Coturnix japonica: one gene and its partner. The protein of the gene in region 2 interacts with the protein of the main gene of each other region in a pairwise test. Links are inferred from orthologs where the notes say so. Each region holds a gene or a part of one and is shown on either strand. Other genes may lie near its edges.

Region 1 (9,775 bases), on a different chromosome or scaffold from region 2:
CGAGGCTGCATCTACAATGTGTCCTGGTGTGTACTGGGCTGAAATCTGGCTGGAGAACACTGTGGTTTCTTTCCTTCCCAGAAAAAAAGCAAAAAAAGAGCCACTGCTGTCTTGAGTCTCAAGCTGGTATAGGGTCAGGGTGTGGCCAGAGCACACACTCGAATCTGAAGTACTATTGGTTTCCTAGCTTAGTGTGGAAATTCAATAAATGTGATAATTATTCTGGTATTAGCAGAAACAAACAAACAAAAAAACAACCAACAAATTACCTTTCAATTATCCATTACTGGTAGTGGGTCAGTCTTAATTTCTTCACATTTGTGGGGACACCAAGTCCCTGGGAAGGAAGAGAACACTATTAAGTGAAACTGGGATCACCATGGATTGCAACTCACCTGTCTTTCTGCTAGAAAAACGCATATGTCATCTCACCTTCAGTTTCTCAAGCTGCTACACTTCTGTTTTCCCAGCTTTAAGTTTAACAGAGTATCATATGCAACATTTTCTTTCTTGTGATTGCCATCAAGTGAATTTCCATCCTTCTGGTTTGGCTTAGGGAAGGATGATGTGACAGATAGGTGACTGCCAGTATTCAGAAAGGTCACACAATGAGCTGCACAAGTTGCTAGAAGAACGATGGTAAAACATCATGCACAGATTACTTTCTAGAAATACAACCATCTTTAAGTGTCTTAGCCTGTACTCCAAAAATCATGATACCAGAAATGCTAATTCAGTAAATAGTAAATACTGTTTATTTTCTTAGTTTATTTTTAGGTATTTACAGAGGAACTATTAGATCACATGATGATGTCAACCCCATCTACAAACTGAATCATTAATGTACATTTCTTTCCCCTAAATACCTTAAATGGTATTCACAACATGGGATTTGGAAGGCATGTATGTGAATGTTTATGTGCATACTCTAAGAAGAATAATCATAATTTGGCTATACCTATTCAGCAAGTCAAAAAAATACTCACAGGGAGACCAAATTTAGCTACTCCAAAACATGTCATTAGGCATACTGCCAAAATCATATTAAATGCCATGCTTACATATAGAAAACAAGCATTTGGAATTCTCTGTCTTTGGAATAGACATGGAAGCCTGGTATTAAATAAAATGGCAACAGAAACAATGTTTAAAGAGCATATTTAAATAATGTTTAATCTATTTTTACTCAATAAATTGCTATTGACAAAATAATGGGTTTAGAACACATCACGAGCTGCCAGAATCTGATTAGGGCAAGAATCGAAGGAGACACAACTAATGGAAAGAACCTGTATTAATTTCCCATGTCCTTTAATCAAAGAGCAATCCATTTGAAACTACTTACCCAACAGAACAGCTTTGTTCCAGCTCCAAAGCTGGGTTTCAGTTTTGATGTTCAGCATATATATCTTCCAATGATATCCTTTCCAAATGTGGAACCATTTCTGTGAGGGGCTATGACATATATAGGAAGATCAGATGGACTGGAATTTAAACACGTTTTTACAAATCCAGTGATTATCTTTTAGATTTTTAAAGAAAAAGAGATTTTTCAAGCATAAACAAAATAACTATGCATGAATTGCTTAGAAGTGCATCTTCAAAACAGAGTATGGTGTACTCTTCCCAAAACCCCACCATCATCTGTAGAAATGATCAGCACATGTTCGGTGCCCTAAAGAGTGTTTTAAATAGTAACAAATTACGTCGTTCTTTACATGTCTTCTGCAGAACTCAGCAAATTTGAGGCTACAATGGAATAATCTAATTATTTGGCAACTATCTGCATAAAAATATTTCAATAACATTAGGAAATGACTTTCAAAAAAGCACTGAATGACTTCAGTTACAGTTTATTCTTTGTTTCTAACCCATATATTTCCTCAGTTAAGAGTTCGTGAGGGATATTGGAATTTTCTCATCCTTTCACTTTTATTTTGTGAAAAACTATTCTAGAAGAGTTTAAATATATGCTATTGCTAATTATTACAATAAGGTCAATACTGTTTTCCATAATTAGTTTCTAATGAACATATGTTCATTAATGAAAAGTGCATGCTATGCGCAATGCCATTTGAGCTGAATGGGCATGAGAGATGTTAAACATAGAATAATACTATGTGCCGCACACAGGCACCATCCTGCGAACACACGTGATTTCAGTGTTACCATTTTCAGTAAATAGAAGCTCTCAGGATAGCATGGTAGAAGTCTAAGTCACACCTAAGTTACAAGCATGGACATAGATTTGATTCATAAATATTTCAATGTATGTTCTTATGTAAGTACATCAGTGAATGGAAGCCAATTCTTCCTGCCAGAGAAGGGCACTTCTATCCTTTGTCCAGTGCAAGGCTGCCCCAGTTGCTGGGATGCACACAGTATATACCCATCATAAATAGTGTATACTCATAATAGCAAAGAAAAGGTTTATTTGGTTTGGTATAAGCCACATTTTGGTTATTCTGACTTTGTAGGTAAGCATTTTTTTGTCATGTATTTATTTCTGTTGATAATTAATCCTATTATTTATTCCTGGTTATCATTATTCCTGTTTTAATAACTTGGGCCACAGTTGTCTCTGTAACTGTAGAAGGAAGCATATGTAAATTCAAGGGAAAGTCTGGACTTGATAATTACTGGGATAAATCAGAGGCTGAGGGCTATTTTAAAAGAGACGTAACAACATGCCAAACTACTAAAAATGTTTAATTCACTTTGCCAATCCTCGCCTTCAGAATATGGCCATCTTACAGATATCACGTGGTCTGAATAAAACATTTCTGGTAAGTATAATGACTGCATTCCATGTTGGTTTACACTTTGCCTGAAACTTTCTGTCTCTCTGTCTCTCCCTCTTTCTCTCATCTATTTATCTGTCCATATCTACATCTATCTATACTTATACCTATCTATGTATCTAAATGTTTTCAAGTGTCATATATACAACAGATTGCAATCCCCCTCCCTCCCTCTCACCCGTTAGTTAGGCCTCGCGTAGCTCTATTCAGTTTAATGTTGCTTTGCAGCCCTCCTTCTAGGTGAAGGAAGCCCACCCTGTCCGACCCCATAAACAAACAAAAAAACACCCACGGGCCTTCCGTTCGTAGCATTTTCTAAACAATGGCAAGGGACAGAAAATATCTCCTATTGTGAGCGCAGGGGGTGATGGAGGGCAGGTGGCACAGGTGAAACTACTTTCCATTTGCAGACCAGCTGCAGCGGGCTGAGGCCCAGCGCCGTAGCAGAGCGCAGGAGTGTGAATGGCCGCACACCCCCCGCCGGGTCCCGTGTGACATCCCGAGGCGAGCGGCTCGGCTCTGCGCTCGGACGGCAGGCAGCGACCCGTCACGCCTTTTGGCGAAAGGACGGGGGAAAAGACGGCGAGAAGACAAGAAAAAGGGAAAAAAAGGTTTAGCGCGTTATTTTCCAAAAGCCCAAAAATAGCAGCGCGCTGCCGCGCAAGCCTCCTTATTATTCCTCCGGCGTCGGCATGCAACCGGGGATGCCGCACCTCGCAGGGCGCCGTGCGCTCCGCCGCCGCCGACTTCAGCCGCCGCCGCTCGCTCTTCCACCCTCGCCCGCGCTGCCACCGCCGCGAGTGCGGCTCCGGCGCAGCGGCAGCGCGGGCGAGGGAGGAAGAACGAGCGGCGGCGGCGGCGGCGGCAGTTTCCCCTTTCCCCAGCCCTGGCTCGGCGGGCGCATGCTCACTTGTGCCCGCAGCCCTGGACCATATTTGTCAGGACCTACTCGAGAGCCGGAGAAAAAGAGAGAGAGAGAATTTGGGGTGGTAAGGAGCGGCGGGTCGCGAGCCGGAGCCGCCGGCCGCGGCCGGGGAACGGCGTCGGCGGCCGAAGGCCGGCGGCGGGGTCGGGTTCGGCCGTAGGTGAGGATGAAAGTTGGAGAGCGAGAGAAAGGCAGAGGCGCACCTCCTCGCCCTCCCTTACGAAACGCCGCCGGGGAAGGGAGGGGGCTTCTCCCCCCCACCCGCGCGGCGGGGATGGAAGTTCGCGCCGGGGAAAGTGGGCAAGTGACTCGCAAGTGGCGGGGGAGCGGCCGGGGCAGGGGGTGCCTCCCAGCGCCCCAAGTGTGTGAGTGAGAAAGAGGAACAAAAGAAAGAGAGAGAGAGGTGCCTGCTATTTCTTTTTCTCTCCCCAAACACATGACGGGAGTACGCGCATCGAGCCGTGCCGCGTATCTCGGCGCAGCCACGGGCACGCACGTATGTGCATGTGCATAGAGCTCCGTATGGGGGAGGGAGCCGCCGAAACGCGCCGGGGGGGCCTTTTTTAGGGGGGGAAGGGGCTCCGCGAGGAGGGGGAAGGGAAGGGGAGAGACATTTTGCGGACTTGCCCCACCGCCGAGCCGCCGCTCGGCTCCATTTAACGCCGCTCGCGGGGCACCGCGGGGACAAACGCGATGGGGCCGGGGGGGGGGGAGGGCGCGCGGGGCTGCGCGTCGGAGGGCGGGCGGCGGGGGGGGATCCTGCGCCGCGCTCCCCCCCCGGCCCGGCTCTTTGTTCGCGCACGCCGAAGACGGGGCGAGGTGCGGGCGCGGGGGGGCGAGGCGCGGGCGCGGGATGGGGGTGGGGGCGGTGCGAGAGCCCCGTTTTTTCGGTCGGAAGCGGCAGGCGGCGGCCGGGATGGACCGGTTGAATGTGCCGCGGGTTCCCGTGCGCGAAGGCCGCGCTCAGCGCGCAGCGGAGAGTTTGGCGTGCCCGTCGCTCCCGCACTTTGTGTGCCTGTGCGCGAGAGATATTTAAAATATAATCATCTCCCAATTTCCGCCATTTTGGGGAAAGTTTGCACACACACACACACACACACACACACACACCCGAAAAAAAAAAAAAAAAAAAGCTTCTTGCGATTTTTTATTTTTTTTTAAGAGGAGGAAAAAAAAAGTCTTCGGCTCCAGCGTTCCGCTCCCGCCGCTGCCGTGCGGTGCGCGCTCCCGGGGCCGCTGCGGCAGGCGGGGGGCGAGCGCGGGGCGGCCCCTGCCCGCTGCGGGCCGGCGGCTGGCACCCGCGGGCGGCGCCGGGGGTCCCGCGGGACGGCCCCGCGCTGCCGCGCACGTGTGTGCGCCCGGACGGGAGGGACGGGCGGGCGGCGAGCGGCTTCGCCCCGAGTTGCGCGCTCTCGGCCCGAGCGCCGCCGGGGGTGCGGCCCCGTCTCCCCCCGCCGCTCCGTCTCCGCAGCCGGTGCATTAACAACAGGATATAGGCACACTTGTTCTCGCTAACGTGCGTGTGAGGCGGCGTTTTCGCGACTGGGGGGAGGGATTTTTATTATTATTATTATTATTATTATCGCGATTATTATTTTGGGTGGGAGCGGCCGCCCGGAGCGCGAGGCCGGGGGGAGCCGGGGTGGGGGCCGGGAGCCGCCCCCATTTTGTGGCCGCTTCGTCGGAGCGGCCGCACGCGAGAGCGTGAGAGAAAAAGTTGGAGCGCGGGGCCGGGCTGCTGCGGGTGGGGGGCGACGCGGCGCTGCCCTCCGCGGGCAGGGGCACCCCTCCGTCGGGCGATCAGCGCGTCCAGATTGGCTGCGAGCGGCCGAGGAGCGAATCCCGCAGCCCCCTCGGGAAAGAGAGCGCGCCCCCTCCTCCTCCTCTTCCTCCTCCTCGCTGGGGGAGGGGAGGAGGGAGGAGAAGGTAAAATTTTCCCCTTCCACGCGGAGCCGGCCGCCCTTTCCCGGATCCCCGTCTCGGGGGGAGGGGGGGGCGGGAGTGAGGGGGGGTGGGGAAGGACCCGGTAAACAAGCGGAGTCCCTCTCCGGTTGTGCAACTTCCTCAGGAACCCTCGGCACCCAGTTCCTCTCCCACCCTCGCTCGCACCGCGCTCGCCCCCGCGCCGGCCGGGGGTCCGTCTCTTGCCGCGCGCTCCCGTCGCTCCGGGCCGGGGGGAAGGAGGGGGGAGAGAGAAAACGGCGGGGAGCGGCGGGAGAAGCGCGCTCCCTCCGCTCCAGCGCTGCCGGCTCGCGACCGTCGGAGCGGGCGGCCGCTTTGTCTCGTCGCTCCTGCCCGAGCCCCGGCGAAACGCGGACCCGAGCACTCCGGGTTTTTCTCCGCCAGAAAGTTTCGAGTGCGGCAAAACACGCCGCAAAACTGGCCAAGGAGGGACCTCTGGCGGTAGGCCGCGGGCAGCCGGCGGCCGCGCCCGGCGGGCCCCGCGTCGCTGCGCTCCGGCGGCGCGGCTCCAGGCCGAGCGCGGCGGGGTGCGGGCTCGGAGCGGCCCGGGCCGGCCCCACGCACCGCCGTCGGCCGCCCCGTTGTTCGCGGCGCTCGGAGGCGCTGAGTAACGCTTCCTGGAAACGCGGCCCCGCGGGATGCGTTGGGGAAGGCCGTGACGCGCGGATCCGTGCGGTGACCCGCGGGCAGCGGGACGGGCTGCGCGATCCGTGAGCTGACACGGAGCGAGAGCCGCCTTCTCATTGTTCCGTTCGTTTCCGAGAGGCGCCGGGCTGAGCGCTCGGCTTTTTTGTTCCTGCCCGCAGCGAGCGCTAACAATCAGGTGGAAAGTGTAAATACAACTCGAGACGCGAACGCTCGACTTCACGCCGCTTTCGGAACGGCTCGCGTTCACAATCAGAGCAGAACGTTCCTGCTGCGGCGTGAAGCCCCTTCGGGAAAGCGGTTCCTGCCCACAGAAGTTCAGCTGTTCCCGGCAGCTCCGGTGAACATCCGCACGAGCGGTGCCGGTGCCGGTGCGGTGCCGCCCGGGCCGCCCTCGCCGCGGGACCCCGCCGCTCCGCCGGTCCCAATGGACGCAGCGCGCCGGTGACGGCGGCTGCCGCAGCGCTCTCATTGGAGGGCGTTTGTTGTCAGCCGGGCAACTGTAGCGAACTTTGGGTTTGTTTGTTGCAGTGTATGGTTCTTATTAATTTCTTGAGTTTTTTCTCCGCTGTTGCTTTCAGTAGTACTGTTTTGGTTTTTTTTTTTTCTCTAGAAAATGGTGGCGCAGTGAGCCCTTTCCCTCTGGCTGGTTCAGTGTTTTCGGGCATCACTCGGGCTGGCGTTTGTGGGTTATTCCCGTTACCCTTCATCTTTTTAATACCGCTGACAGGTAGGATTATGGAATGTAAGCAGTGGGTGTGAGGAACCAGGGATTACATGGATGGGATTTACTGAAGACAGTAATAGTGTGCGTGTAGCCACAGCTTTTTATTGCTTCAGTAGTAGTGCTACTCATCACAATGGGAAATTGGAGCTCTTTGTGGACTGGAGATAAGGAGAAACGCAGCGACCAGTAGTTAGGAGCTAGAAAAAAAGGTGAAATAGTGGTTTAAGGATTGCAGACCAGGGTGATGAAAACAAGCAGAATAGAGGAGAAGGGCATGAGCTGAGTGCGAGTGTGCAGAGGGGCTCACTGGGAGCTAACGTCACTTCAAACAGTTTGGCATACATCAGGTGATGCGCAGTGTGAGGGTTTGGTGCATCACAGTTCTTCCTGAGATGTCTGCACTGCAAATGGAAGGAGATCACAGTATCACATTATCATAGTCTCGTGCGGGTTGGAAGGGACCTTAGAGATCATCGAGTCCAACCCCCGGGATTCGAGCCTCTGTGTTGCAGAGCGGCACTTCTACCACTTGCGCCACAGGGGGATTCAAACCCAGGGCCTCCAGTGTTCCAAATGGGATGAGATGGGAGTTTTCTGTCACTCCGTGCCTGATTCAAGGAAACAGAAGAGGTTAACAAACGAGATTTGGGAGTTGTACTCCCAACTTAGTATGTGAGCATCATAAGACCCCGTTCAGGACTGCACAGAGAGGGATGGAAACAAACAAGTCATGGAGGTGTTGTAGAGGAGATCTTTCCTCAGAGCTCCTGAGGTACAAATTCTCTATAAACAAGTTGGAAGTTGTTAGTGGTGAATTTTAGTAGCTGATAGAATAGCGTCAGTATTGGGTATTGTAGTGCTTTGTGGATGTTTGAAAATGACAAAGTAGTCAAAAGCTGTGTGTAACTGTGTTACCCAGTGGTACGCTGTTACAAGTGGAACTTGTGTTAGCTGCTGGCAGAGAGCAGATTCAGTTGTAGATACCGAAACCCATTCTCAGTACCTGATGCAGGCTCACTCCTATCAGAGAACACAGTCTGCAGTTTGTAATGCCTGTGGCCAGGTTCCTTCTGTGAGGAAACAGATTTAAGCCTATCTGCTAGGAAGCAAGACTGAACATACACTGTGTCCCTGGAGAGTGCAGCAGGCAGAGAAGTAGCAAGAGATAAAACAAGAGGAAATAATAGTAAGGGGACAACACTGACAGGAAATCTGGTCCAATTCCTCTTACGAGTGCTAAAGAGGGCAAAGAATTTTAAGCTTAGGTCCCTCTGTGAATATAATTCCTACCTACATATAGTTCATCTTTAAAGTAACTTATATGTAATAAATTTCACGAGCAACAGGCAAAGTAGTGGGACTGACTCGGATAGTCCTTCAACACACAGAAGAATAGTGGAACTGGTAAAGTAGTTTTTGAAGGATGAAAAATGAGATTTTGAAGGAAGTGTGTAATCTGCAGATACTTCTTTTAAGGCAACATTAGAAGAATTAGAACATTAAAAGAATTAAACAGATATTTTAAGGCTGCATATTAAAATGTAGTGGATACCCTCAAAATGTTCTATCGTTTCCTGCACTGTTCCTGTTGTGGTTGTTGTTGAAGTACATAATCAAGAAGTGCAAGAGGTGGAAGGATGAGAAAGAGACAAGTGAGAAGAAAAGTGGGCTCACCCTGGTGGGTTTACAGTGAATAGGAAGTAATTCTGGTTTCTCTGCGCTGCAGTTATGAGTGATCTTCCTTTGCTATATTTGCTGTTTTAAAGCTAGATTATACCCAGGTTTGTCTAAAATAAAAGGGAAGATGTGCCATGTGGGGTAGTTCTCTCGTGTTTAGCCTGAGCAGTATGATGATTCAGCCCTGGTAATTTTCCCACACTTCTGTGATAAAGCAGATAAAGACAAATGTATCAGAGCTGGGACTGCACCAGCTTCTAGGCAGTAGGGCATGAGTGTCTTTTATCTACTTTGGTCATCTCCAAAGAGGAGGCTGTTCTGATACATGTTGTCTCCTGCTGATCAGCTTGATTTCCCCTATGTATATCCCCTCCAGCCTGTGGATTCTGTGCCAAAAGTCTCCTCATTGGAGGTGACCAAAATAGTCTGTGGTATTTGGCTAAAAAGACTTGGGCCTTTGTTTCTGCATGTCTGTCAGGACTGGCTATTCCAGCTCTATGCATGCCTGTAAGGCACATGGGACATTGCTAGGAGCTGTAAGGATATCACCTCCTTTGATGTCTCTCTTTGTCTCTTGGACCTCACCCTCATCACCTGCTGCTTCATACAATCATGGAATCATAGAATTGCTTGAGTTTGAAGAGATATTAAAGACCATCCAATTCCAATCCCCTGCCGTGGGCGGCATTGCCACCCACTGGCGGTGCTCAAGGCCAGGTTGGATGGGCAGCCCAGCTTCTCTGGGCAGCCTGTTCCAGTGCCTGACCACCCATTAAGTAAAGAATTTCTTCCTCATGTTTAACCTAAACTTCCCCTCTTTTATTTTAAAGCCATTCCCCCTTGTCCTGTCATTACCAGACTGTGAAAAAAAGTTTGTCCTCCTCATGCTTATAAGCTCCCTTCAAGTACTGGGAGGCTGCAATGAGGTCTCCCCAGAGTCTTCTCCAAGCTAAACAAACCCATTTCATTCACCTTCTTAAGAGAGATGCTCCAACCCTCTGATCACCTCTTTGACCCTCCTCTGGACCTGCTTGCCCT
Region 2 (9,541 bases):
AGCAACCATTCTTTCATATGCGATAAGAGGTTTCTTATCACTTCTTCATGCATGCATGCTTTGAATGCTGATAGCTAACCATCGCTGTTGTTGACCGGTGTGACTGTGAGGAGTGATGAGTGCCCAAGATGAGGAACTCACTGAAGTTTGTAGATAGATGAGGTTTGCTCAGAGCAGGAGATGGAGCAGAAAAATATAGAGAATATTTCAGCTCTGAGCATATAACACAGTAATGAGGCAACCCCAAGGTAGAGAATTTGTTCTTCTGAACTGTAAGGGGCTTCATAAGACAGATCATTTCATGCAGACTAAGAACACACCTATGGAACATCACTCAAATGTCACTTTGGCCAAGCCAAAGCCTTTCTCCAGTGGGGACAACAGGGATCTCTGACTTGTTTCTTAGGGATGAGAGCATGAGAAGAGCTACTCCATTGTTTCTACATGCAATTTCAGTAACTTTTGTTTCCTGATATGAAAGGTCTCTGTTTTATAGCCTCTCTTTTGCTTTCTTTGGGATCTGTCTGTCACTGTATTGCTCTTTCTAGCACAGCTGCAACCCCTTGCAAGCAGCTTCTCAGAGCTGGATTTTCCCACTCAATCCAAGCAACTCATTCTCCAAAGACTTTCCACAGCATTGCAGGTTATTATCAGCTCTATAGGAATAAGATGGAAAGACATCTGAAGAGGGTGCCTAGGCATGTCAGAGAACAAGAGGCAGCTCTCACCAAGGGCAGAGGAGTGGGGAGCCCAGCACCATTGGGATCCTCACTAGCAGGGTGCCATCCTGCAGACACTGAGCAGAGCTGGCACTGATAAGAAGGTCCACTACAAGCAGACAACCGGGTCCAAGGTCCAAGCAGGGAGCCTGGACAGGAATAAAAAGAGCCAGGGCCAAAGCCAAGCAACAACATGGGTCCAAAGTCCTTCTTACTGACAGGGCTAAAGGCAAACCTAAAAATAAGTGTCCTAAAAGCAAAGCTCAAAAAGCTCAAGCTTGAGCTTAAATGGGCTCCTAGGCCATGGGTGGAGGATGGTGGATGCTCCAGGTGAACCTCCTCAAGGTCATGAGGACTTCTTATCAGCCTCAGGGTCCAGACATCACTTATGTCTTGTCTCCACTTAACAAAAGGTGGTATTTTATGTTAGAAACATATTTAATTGGTGATATTTTCATTAAATACGTGCATGTCTGTCATCTCTTCCTGCAGGTTGCATAAGTGCAAGGCTCGGGGAATCCACCTTAGTACCCTGAAGCAATAAGCTTATCTGTGCCACTTACTCTTCCAAAATCAGCTATTTAGGAGAGTCTTTCTTAACGCTCGTCATTTATTACCTCCACTGCCTGCTTTGAAGTGTCAGCAAGCCATTGCCAGCCAAAGAAACTTCCAAATCTAGCTTCTGGTTTTGTTCTTAATTGTGGGTAACCACGTATGTGGAGTGGGACTGCACACAATACAAGTTTGCTTACTTAGTCTTCATAAAAGCTGGAAAAGTAAAAATCTAGAGATTTCTTGCTGTCACCGACTTCAGCTCTAAATGTCTCCAAGCTGGACAGAGAGGATTGATATCTGGTTGTTTTGTTCTTCCCCAGAAGATAAGCCTCCCATGTGCTGTCTGAACTTTCTTATTTACGTCTGTGAAGTCCCACGCTCAATTCACAGCTAACATGGAGCAAAAACTTGTTGCTTTTAGGACTCAGTATAATAACATTAGTGGTACATAGATGCTATGAAACACTTTCTGCCTGGAGATCTGAAAGAGCTGATACAGAGCTGAGGGCTACAGAGTAAACAAACAGGATTCTCAGGCAACCTTGAGTCTAAAGAAAGGATAAAATCCTCTAACAGTGTTATGTATGATGAGCTTCCCTTTAACATTTTGATAATGCCGGTGGAGTAAAAAAGACTGGTGATGATAATGTACCTGACCAAATAAACACAGGCTGTAGCAAAGCTAGCAAACCAGCAAATACTGAGCAAAGCTATCAGCTGTGTAACAGGCAAAAGGGCAGCAGGCTCAGCTGGGAAGGTCAGTGAAGGGTAAAGTTGTAACAGAGCTTTTTAGAGTGACATATTTCTGAGAAAGGGAATAGATTCCTGTTATTTTTTCCATGATGCAGACATGGAAATTGAACAGTATGTAAATAAGAGAGAGAGCACAGAGATCAAGCCTGTCCCTTCTCACCTAATTTCTCAGCTTAGCACAGATGTCCTTATGATACCTTGAACTGTGACCAAATGGGTAACAGTGTTTTTCTCTCTGCTTTGGGCATTCAAGGTCTTTTCTGTTTCCTCATTCATGAAAACTGGGAATATCTTCAGGAAATGAGATGTGGTGTGCTTAGAACAGAAGTGAGATCAGAGTCAGAGCAGAAGTCAATATCTTGCTCTAAGTCACAGAGTAGGTGCAGGAGTAAAAGCCTCCAAAGCCCAACTTGGGTTTTGTAGAAGAAAGAAACCAACAAAAAATCAAAGAAATGACTGACAATAGACACTATCTGAAGATCAGGGATGAGAGGTGTGTGCTTGCAGGAGGGAGGCTGATTCTAAGCTTCAACAGTGGAGAGGCTTCTTATCAATAAGGCAAAACACTGCAGCGGGTTTACAAATGACATTAGTATTAATTGGGCTCAACAAAATGTGATTTATACCCATTATTGTATATTGATTCAAACCACCGTGTCACAGGAGAGCGCATGGTGTGCTCAGAAGGCCATTCCAGTGATGAGAATTAATATACAGAAAATGAATAAAGTAACTCAGAAACTGAACAAACAGGAGATTTTCAAGTCCTTTATTATTTTCTTAATAGCATAGTATATAATCAAGTTCCAATTTCAAATGCTCTGTGGTTACATCTCTGCCCTGGTCACATCTTCTGTGCTCTTCTTACCTTTGTTTCCACACTCATGTTCAGCACTGAACTTCATTATGAATGCCAGTCACTTGTTTAAACAAATGCTTTGTTTGGCAACCTTTGTTTTCCCACTGCTTATGCAGCTGCAAAACTGTGTGCACAGTGTGTTAATTTTTTACCTCTGACCCTATGGTGGGTTTTTCTTCTAACGAAAAGAAAAGGAAACCAATGAACGAGATACTGATCTTTCTTGATCTACACAAAAAACCATCTAAAACCAGCGACTTCCTTAGGAAACAATAGCAAGTGAACGCTGATACGGAGGTAAAATAAGCTAGATATTTCCTGGAACCAAATGGTTTTTCATAATGAGACAGAGGAAAGTTGGCATAAGCGTACAGTGCTAAAGAGAGACTGAAAAATAAGGATGAAAAGGTGAGGAATTAAAACAACAAGGAAATATTGAGCTTATTTCATTTGGAAGGATAAGCCAGAAGGGCAACAGAATGTATTTTCTTCTATAAAATAAAGAAAAGAAGGATGATGTATTGACACCCTGATGTTCTTATTCATTTTTGTGAGGAGGGGGATGGCTGGAATATGAGCTGATTTGTCACTCAAACAAGATATAGTGGGTTAAAGCTGGAACAGAATGGAGTATCTGCTTCTTCCTAATGCTGGCTTATGAGCTATCTCTTACCTCATGATAAAGTAAAGACCTCGTTTGCTAAAAGAGGATGTATTTTGTGAAGCACAGGAAACACCTGTTTATCCTCAGTAAGTGGTTTGTGCTGTAAATAATAGTCAAAATTGGTCCTGATTTAAGCACTGAGAAGGTGCCAAGTTGCTATATTACTTTTATTATGTCTCTGATCAAAGTCGTAGACATCAGCTGGATCCTGCCATAGTTTCCTACCATTACTTTGATGACCACAAGTGAATATTGGTTGATGTGTTGTTTTAGCTGAGGAGTAGCTTTACAATGAGGAGCAGGATCCTCAGCAGAACCTGAGTTAATAATCTATGGGAGGGAATGCACTGATTAGGAACCAGGAGGGCTGTTATCCTAACATCCCAATATCCCATATCCTAATGGGTTTGGGTTTGGACAGCAAAGGATTTTAGTGGCACAGCAGGTGCTGCACTGTATGTATCTGTACCATTGCTTTTCTAGCAGGGTTGCTTGAGTTTTCCAAGTCTGATACAGGGCAAATGTGCAGCAAAATATGACATAATCCATTGGGAAAAGTCAGTTTGTAAGGAGTTTAACCTCTGAACTTCCTAATCTGCTTGTGAAAGGACAGAACAGGCTAAATAAACCCATGGACTCAGCTGAGCATTTACCCCATCATTGCAATGATGCATAAGGCTGAGATGGGGACATCACATAGGCCACTGCGGCCTACACGCGTTGCGGTGTGCGAACTACAACTCCCAGCATGCACCGCTCCAGCCGATAGTACTACAGATCCCGGCCTGCTCAGTATGGGCGGTGCCCAAGTGCTGCGCGTTGCCCTCTGGGAATTATAGTCTCTCCCAGCGGCGCGGCGGTTGCGAGGCCGCGTCTTTTGCGCGCATGCGCGGGGCCTTCGAGCCAGGCGGGAGGCGAGAGATCGCAGCGCGGCGGCGCATGCGCAGTGAGGAGACGGAGATCTCTCGCGAGGAAGGACGCCATTATCGCAGCCGCCCGACAAACACCACGAGAATTCGGCACCGCACACGGTAACCGCGGCGCCCCGCGGCCGGACGGCTGGGGCCGAGCTCCCGGGGGGCCTTAAGGCCGGGCCTAGAGCCTCGTTTATCGCAGCGTTCCCGTTCCTTAGAGCGTCAGGCCGAGCAGCAGGGCCGTGAGGCGGAGGCTACGGGGGAGGGGCTGCGGGCTTTCAGGCGGGGAGCGAGGGAAGGGGGGAGGCTGAGGCCTGGCCTCCTCCTGCGGCCTAAGGGCTCTGGAGCCGGGCCTTGCGTTCTGCTCGCCTCGCTCCCCTCCTGCCTGCTCTGTGCTGCTCTATGGGCCGGGTGTACAGCCCCTCTGCTCACCTCTAAACCGAGGCCGTCCCTCCTCATTCCCATTTCGGGTCGTGGGATGGACTGTGGAGCCCCCTTAGCCCCCCACTATCGCGACAGACTGCAGCCTTCTTTAGGGCAGCCCCCCACCCCCTATCGCGACAGACACTGCAGCCTTCTTAAGGGCAGCCCCCCACCCCCTATCGCGACAGACACTGCAGCCTTCTTAAGGGCAGCCCCCCCACCCCCTATCGCTACAGACATAGAGGGGGCTGCAGCCTTCTTGAAGGGAAGAAGTCCCCTCTGAAGTCCCCTCATTCTGTCATTGGGCACAGTGAAAGGTTTTTCACATCTCCACCCCCTGCTGCTCTGTTTGGGGGTGGGCAGCTCACCCTTAATGTTTTTCTTCTTCCCTTCGTTCTTATCTAATGCAAAAAGCAAGCACCGCAAGAATATTTTAAGTCCTGCACTGTGGGAAGTGATGCACTTGGAGTGAAGGCTGCGCTTTTATCCCGCTGTGGGGATGGTTTATTTATAGGGTTATATTTAGAGATCACCAGGGGGAAAAACAAAAAGCCCAAGGAAATCAATTGGGAGGGGGGTGTAACTGCAGCACAGTGATTGCTTAGCATAGAATGGGCTGAAAAAGACAGCAAGGATCATCCAGTTTCAACCCCTCTGCTATGTGCAGGGTCACCAGAGCCACATCCAGCGTGGACTGCTTCCATTAGAGCAGTTTGCAAAGTCTTTTAAAGCATTGTAAAACTATACTTCTTTTCTTTCTTCTTAACCTTGGGTGTAGTGCCCTGTTGACTGATGTCAAGGAGCAAACGTGCCATTTGTCTGTAGGGTTTTGGCTGCTCGCTTAACATCCATCCGAATCAGCCCTGCTTGTTTTCAACCCATTGTTTCACGGCTGTGATATGATGTGGGTGGGGAGAGTCTGAGCACCTGTGAATGGTTGTCCATGGGAATAGAGCAGAATAACAACTAAGCTGCACTGAAACTGGACTCTGTGCATTCAGTGCTCCTTGGCAGTAGTTCAGTTTTCACTACTACGTGCTGGGAAGGAAGACTTTTTAGTTCTGAAAGATGGCGTTGGGATTTTGGAAGCGTTCTCAGTCCATCTGCTTGAGATGAAAATATTTTGCAAGGTTTTTTTTTTTCTTTGGTTTTAGTTTATCATCTGTTACGCTGTAACAGAAGCTGCCTTTAATGACTTAATTATCCAGCCGTGGCTGCATGAATATAGAGCAGGTTTAAAGCTGTACGGCTCTTTGCTTTAGTTTGGGACTTGGTCTTTAGTTCTTATCTATTGAAGTCATTTTGTTTTTTTGCTTTCTTTTTTTACCCGTATTCATTCAATGTGAAGTGCTGCTCCTTCAAGTAACAATAAAAAATAAAATGCCTTTAAAAAGTCACATCAAACCCTTGTTTCCTTGCAGTTGTAGCCCTTGAAAAAGGTGCTGTCAAGTGCTTAGTTCTGTCTCCTGCTTGTTAGACTGCACACAAACGTGACACAAACCTTCTGGGACCTCAAATAAAGTCATTTCTGATGATATCTGGACCAAATTCTTTTCATCTCATTTCCTGTTTGTATAAGCATGGCTGGAAAAGGGGGAAGCCGTGACTGCAGGAGGGAAGCATACGTTGCGTTCAGATGCATCTGTATCTTAAAACCAAGACAGAATGCCCGTCTTCTGCCGTGTTGGCGTGGATTCATAGGAACCGTGAAGAAAAACGCTCCTTCCAAACACAGCTGTACCTGCTACGCTCTGCCAGCATACCTAGATATGCTGGTGCAAGCTTAAGCTGCAATCACTTTTGTTTGCTAGAGGAAGGAGGGATGATGGCAAACAGGTTCAGATCATACTGGTAATGTATTTCAGAAGAGCACAGGGTCTGTGTTTTCCTTCAGGTGATGCTCTTCATATATATATATATTTGTAAGAATGAACAGATATTATCCCTGGGTTCTAAAGCAGCATTGAGGTCTGTTGCAGGAGCTTGGATGTTTTAAGTGTTTGAAGGTGGTAAGAGACATGGAGCAGGTGGCTTGTTTTGCCCTAGATCTGATGTTGGCTGCTGTGCTTTTTTGCACCTGTAGCAGCATGGTTGGTTGGTTGGCTCTTTTTTCCCCCCTACCCTAGATCAGATTCTTTCAGTTGGAAAAATACAAAGTTGTGTTATTCCCTTTTTTTTTTCTATAAACTTCCTGTTTGAGGGAAGCCAAACACAAAGAAATGAAGTGTTTGCTCAAGTCTCCTTTAAACCTGAGCCAGCTGTCTGTAAATACCTGACTGAAGCGAGGTCTTGGTTGTGTGCATTGCAGAGCACTGATGCTGGCCCTGCAGTGCTTCCTGTATATGCAAAGCCTATAAATGCTGTAGCCAAGTCACTTTGTAAAGGGAAAGTGACGATTTCTAGCGCTTCCAGTCTGAATCCTGGTGCCATTGAAAAGACTGTGCTATATCTTATGATATCAGGGAACGAGGTCAGCTTCAAATATGCATCTTATTCCCACAGCCTGCCTCTGTTTATTTTCTGTCCCTAGAGGAGCTGGCTGTAACGTGGTGAGTTAAACATGATCAGAGGAGGATAAATTCTGGCTCACTATCTGTGCTCCACAACCCAGCCCTGTGATGTCCACCCAGTGTCCTGGCATGAACACAACAGCAGCCCAGCATGAGGAAGAGCTTAGCAGATGGAAGTGGCTTCCTAACAGTGCTGTCTGTTCACTGTACAGTATGGGACGTGACTTTCCTCATCGCCCTCTATTTGCTTGGCTTTCTCCAATGGGATTTCCATTGAGCAGTGCATTGTACCCCCAACCTGGGTGTTTCTCATTGGTTGTGCATGGCTGGAGTGCAGGTTTGCAGGGCTCTTGTTTCATCTGAGCAGTGAGATGTTCTGATTCTGCTCAGACAACGTGGATGTTCAAGAAGAAATTGGCTGCCAGGTCTTATCTAGCTTGGGATACAAACCTGCCTACTGCTATGGTGGCTCGAAGCATGCTCAGATTTTAGTAATGTCTTTTATTCAGAGTAAATACTATTCTCCCAAGATTTCTTGCCAATAATTGCACTGAATTAAATAGACCTCATTGTTCCGGAGGTCACTGAAAGATTGATACACTGAGATACCCTTCAGTCAGCTGTTCTCTTGAGTACAGAGAATGACTTATTTATGAGACAAAAGTCACTTTGTGATACTGAAACAACTGGACGATGCAGTGGGAAAACTGGGTGTTTAAGGGCATAAACTGAGAACTGTGCTCATTTCCTTTAAATCTGGTTCCTATTTCTTCATCTTGACTCTATAATTGGTTATTTTTGGTTGCCACCATTTTGTTAATGCTGTTTATTTCCCACTTTCCAAAGGGGATTCAAACATTAAATTACCGTGTGTTGAAATATTTCTCCATCAGCTCCTTGCTGTTTCTAAGTAGCAACACTGTAAGGTGTAAGTATGAGTTTTTCATACTTAAATAACACTGAAAAGAATCCTAAATTTTGGTGACCAAATGGACCCCATCTCGTATTTGTTTCTATATCCCCATTAGAAGTCAACCTGTGCTTCTCTATGGCTTTTTGCTCATCAGTTAGCAATCGTTTTATATACCTTATTGGTTTGCTTGGTATATATGTATAATTTAAAGTTGGATTTCCATTTTTTTTATACTGTTATTTTACTATTTGGCTGCTACTGTTACTGTAAGTACATATAGACCTGTGGGCTATTGCTGCAGTTGTAGTTGGCTTCAGCTTTGGTGTGTATTCCTTCTCATCTTGGGCATTAGGATCCTCCAGAGTGGAGTTTCTTTGCCAGTTCCTGGTGCTGGAAAGAAGTTCATGGCCAAAGCTCTGGCGATAAGACTTGCTTCATCTGCACATCCTTGTTGGGGGAAACATCCCTTTAGAGGGGAGAATGGACATCATAGGATCATAATCACACAATCACAACCCCCTGCTGCAGAGGAGACCCATCTGTAAGGGCTTTGCCTTGGATGTTTGCAAACCTTGGGCTGACTTTTCGAGGGCAGTTTCTGTTGTAGGAAGGTCTAATGCCCATCTTGATGTTCTGGGTCTCACTGCAGCTCTGGCAGTGCTGTGGTTCTTGTGAACAACTCAGATCTGCTGCCAATAATTCTGATTGCTTTAGGTGGTGGTTTGCATGATGGGTCAAATGAAGAGGAACAACACTTGGAATGGCACAACTGGTGGTCAGTTATGGCCATTGTACATAATGAATGGTGATGGAAGTGTTTTATCAATGTAGTGGGCACTGGTGGTGATGGGACTGGATGGTCATAGTGATCTTAAGTGATTCTGTGCCTCTATCAGTGCTGAGAAGTGCCAGCAATGGGAGTAATGATCTACTCCAATAAGAAAAGTCCAAGTAAACGCTGTGAGCGCAATAAAGGTTTGGTGTTTTTGGAAGAATCCAGTGTTTGCCCTCACTAATTAGCACGAGAGAAGATTGATGTTCAGCGCATGTTCTCATGTGTTAACAAGTCACTGGATGCGTTTGGTTATATGCTTTGGAATGGTGCCCTGTGATTGTGTAAAGCCATCAGATATTTCAGGAAATAGCTTCGTTTGCAAGCGAGTGCTCAGATGAATTATCCTGCATTAATGTTTTAAAATGGATTAATTAAATTAAACTCACGCGCTGGTGG

The links.
Region 1: the proteins of BANP (region 2) and L3MBTL3 interact in binary tests that used the Homo sapiens proteins (3 or more experiments, as listed by UniProt). The two-hybrid records come from large-scale screens. The link is inferred for Coturnix japonica from reciprocal best matches to the Homo sapiens genes BANP and L3MBTL3.

What each region holds. Positions count from the first base shown.
Region 1 is NC_029518.1:52,547,348-52,557,122, reverse strand, and holds the start of L3MBTL3 (lethal(3)malignant brain tumor-like protein 3), read left to right. Parts: upstream 1-3,660; 5' UTR 3,661-3,790; intron 3,791-5,120; exon of another isoform or gene 5,121-5,242; intron 5,243-5,556; exon of another isoform or gene 5,557-5,652; intron 5,653-6,758; exon of another isoform or gene 6,759-6,849; intron 6,850-6,941; exon of another isoform or gene 6,942-7,063; intron 7,064-9,775. UniProt on the Homo sapiens protein: Is a negative regulator of Notch target genes expression, required for RBPJ-mediated transcriptional repression. It recruits KDM1A to Notch-responsive elements and promotes KDM1A-mediated H3K4me demethylation.
Region 2 is NC_029526.1:16,028,426-16,037,966, forward strand, and holds the start of BANP (protein BANP), read left to right. Parts: upstream 1-4,467; 5' UTR 4,468-4,581; intron 4,582-9,541. UniProt on the Homo sapiens protein: Controls V(D)J recombination during T-cell development by repressing T-cell receptor (TCR) beta enhancer function. Binds to scaffold/matrix attachment region beta (S/MARbeta), an ATC-rich DNA sequence located upstream of the TCR beta enhancer.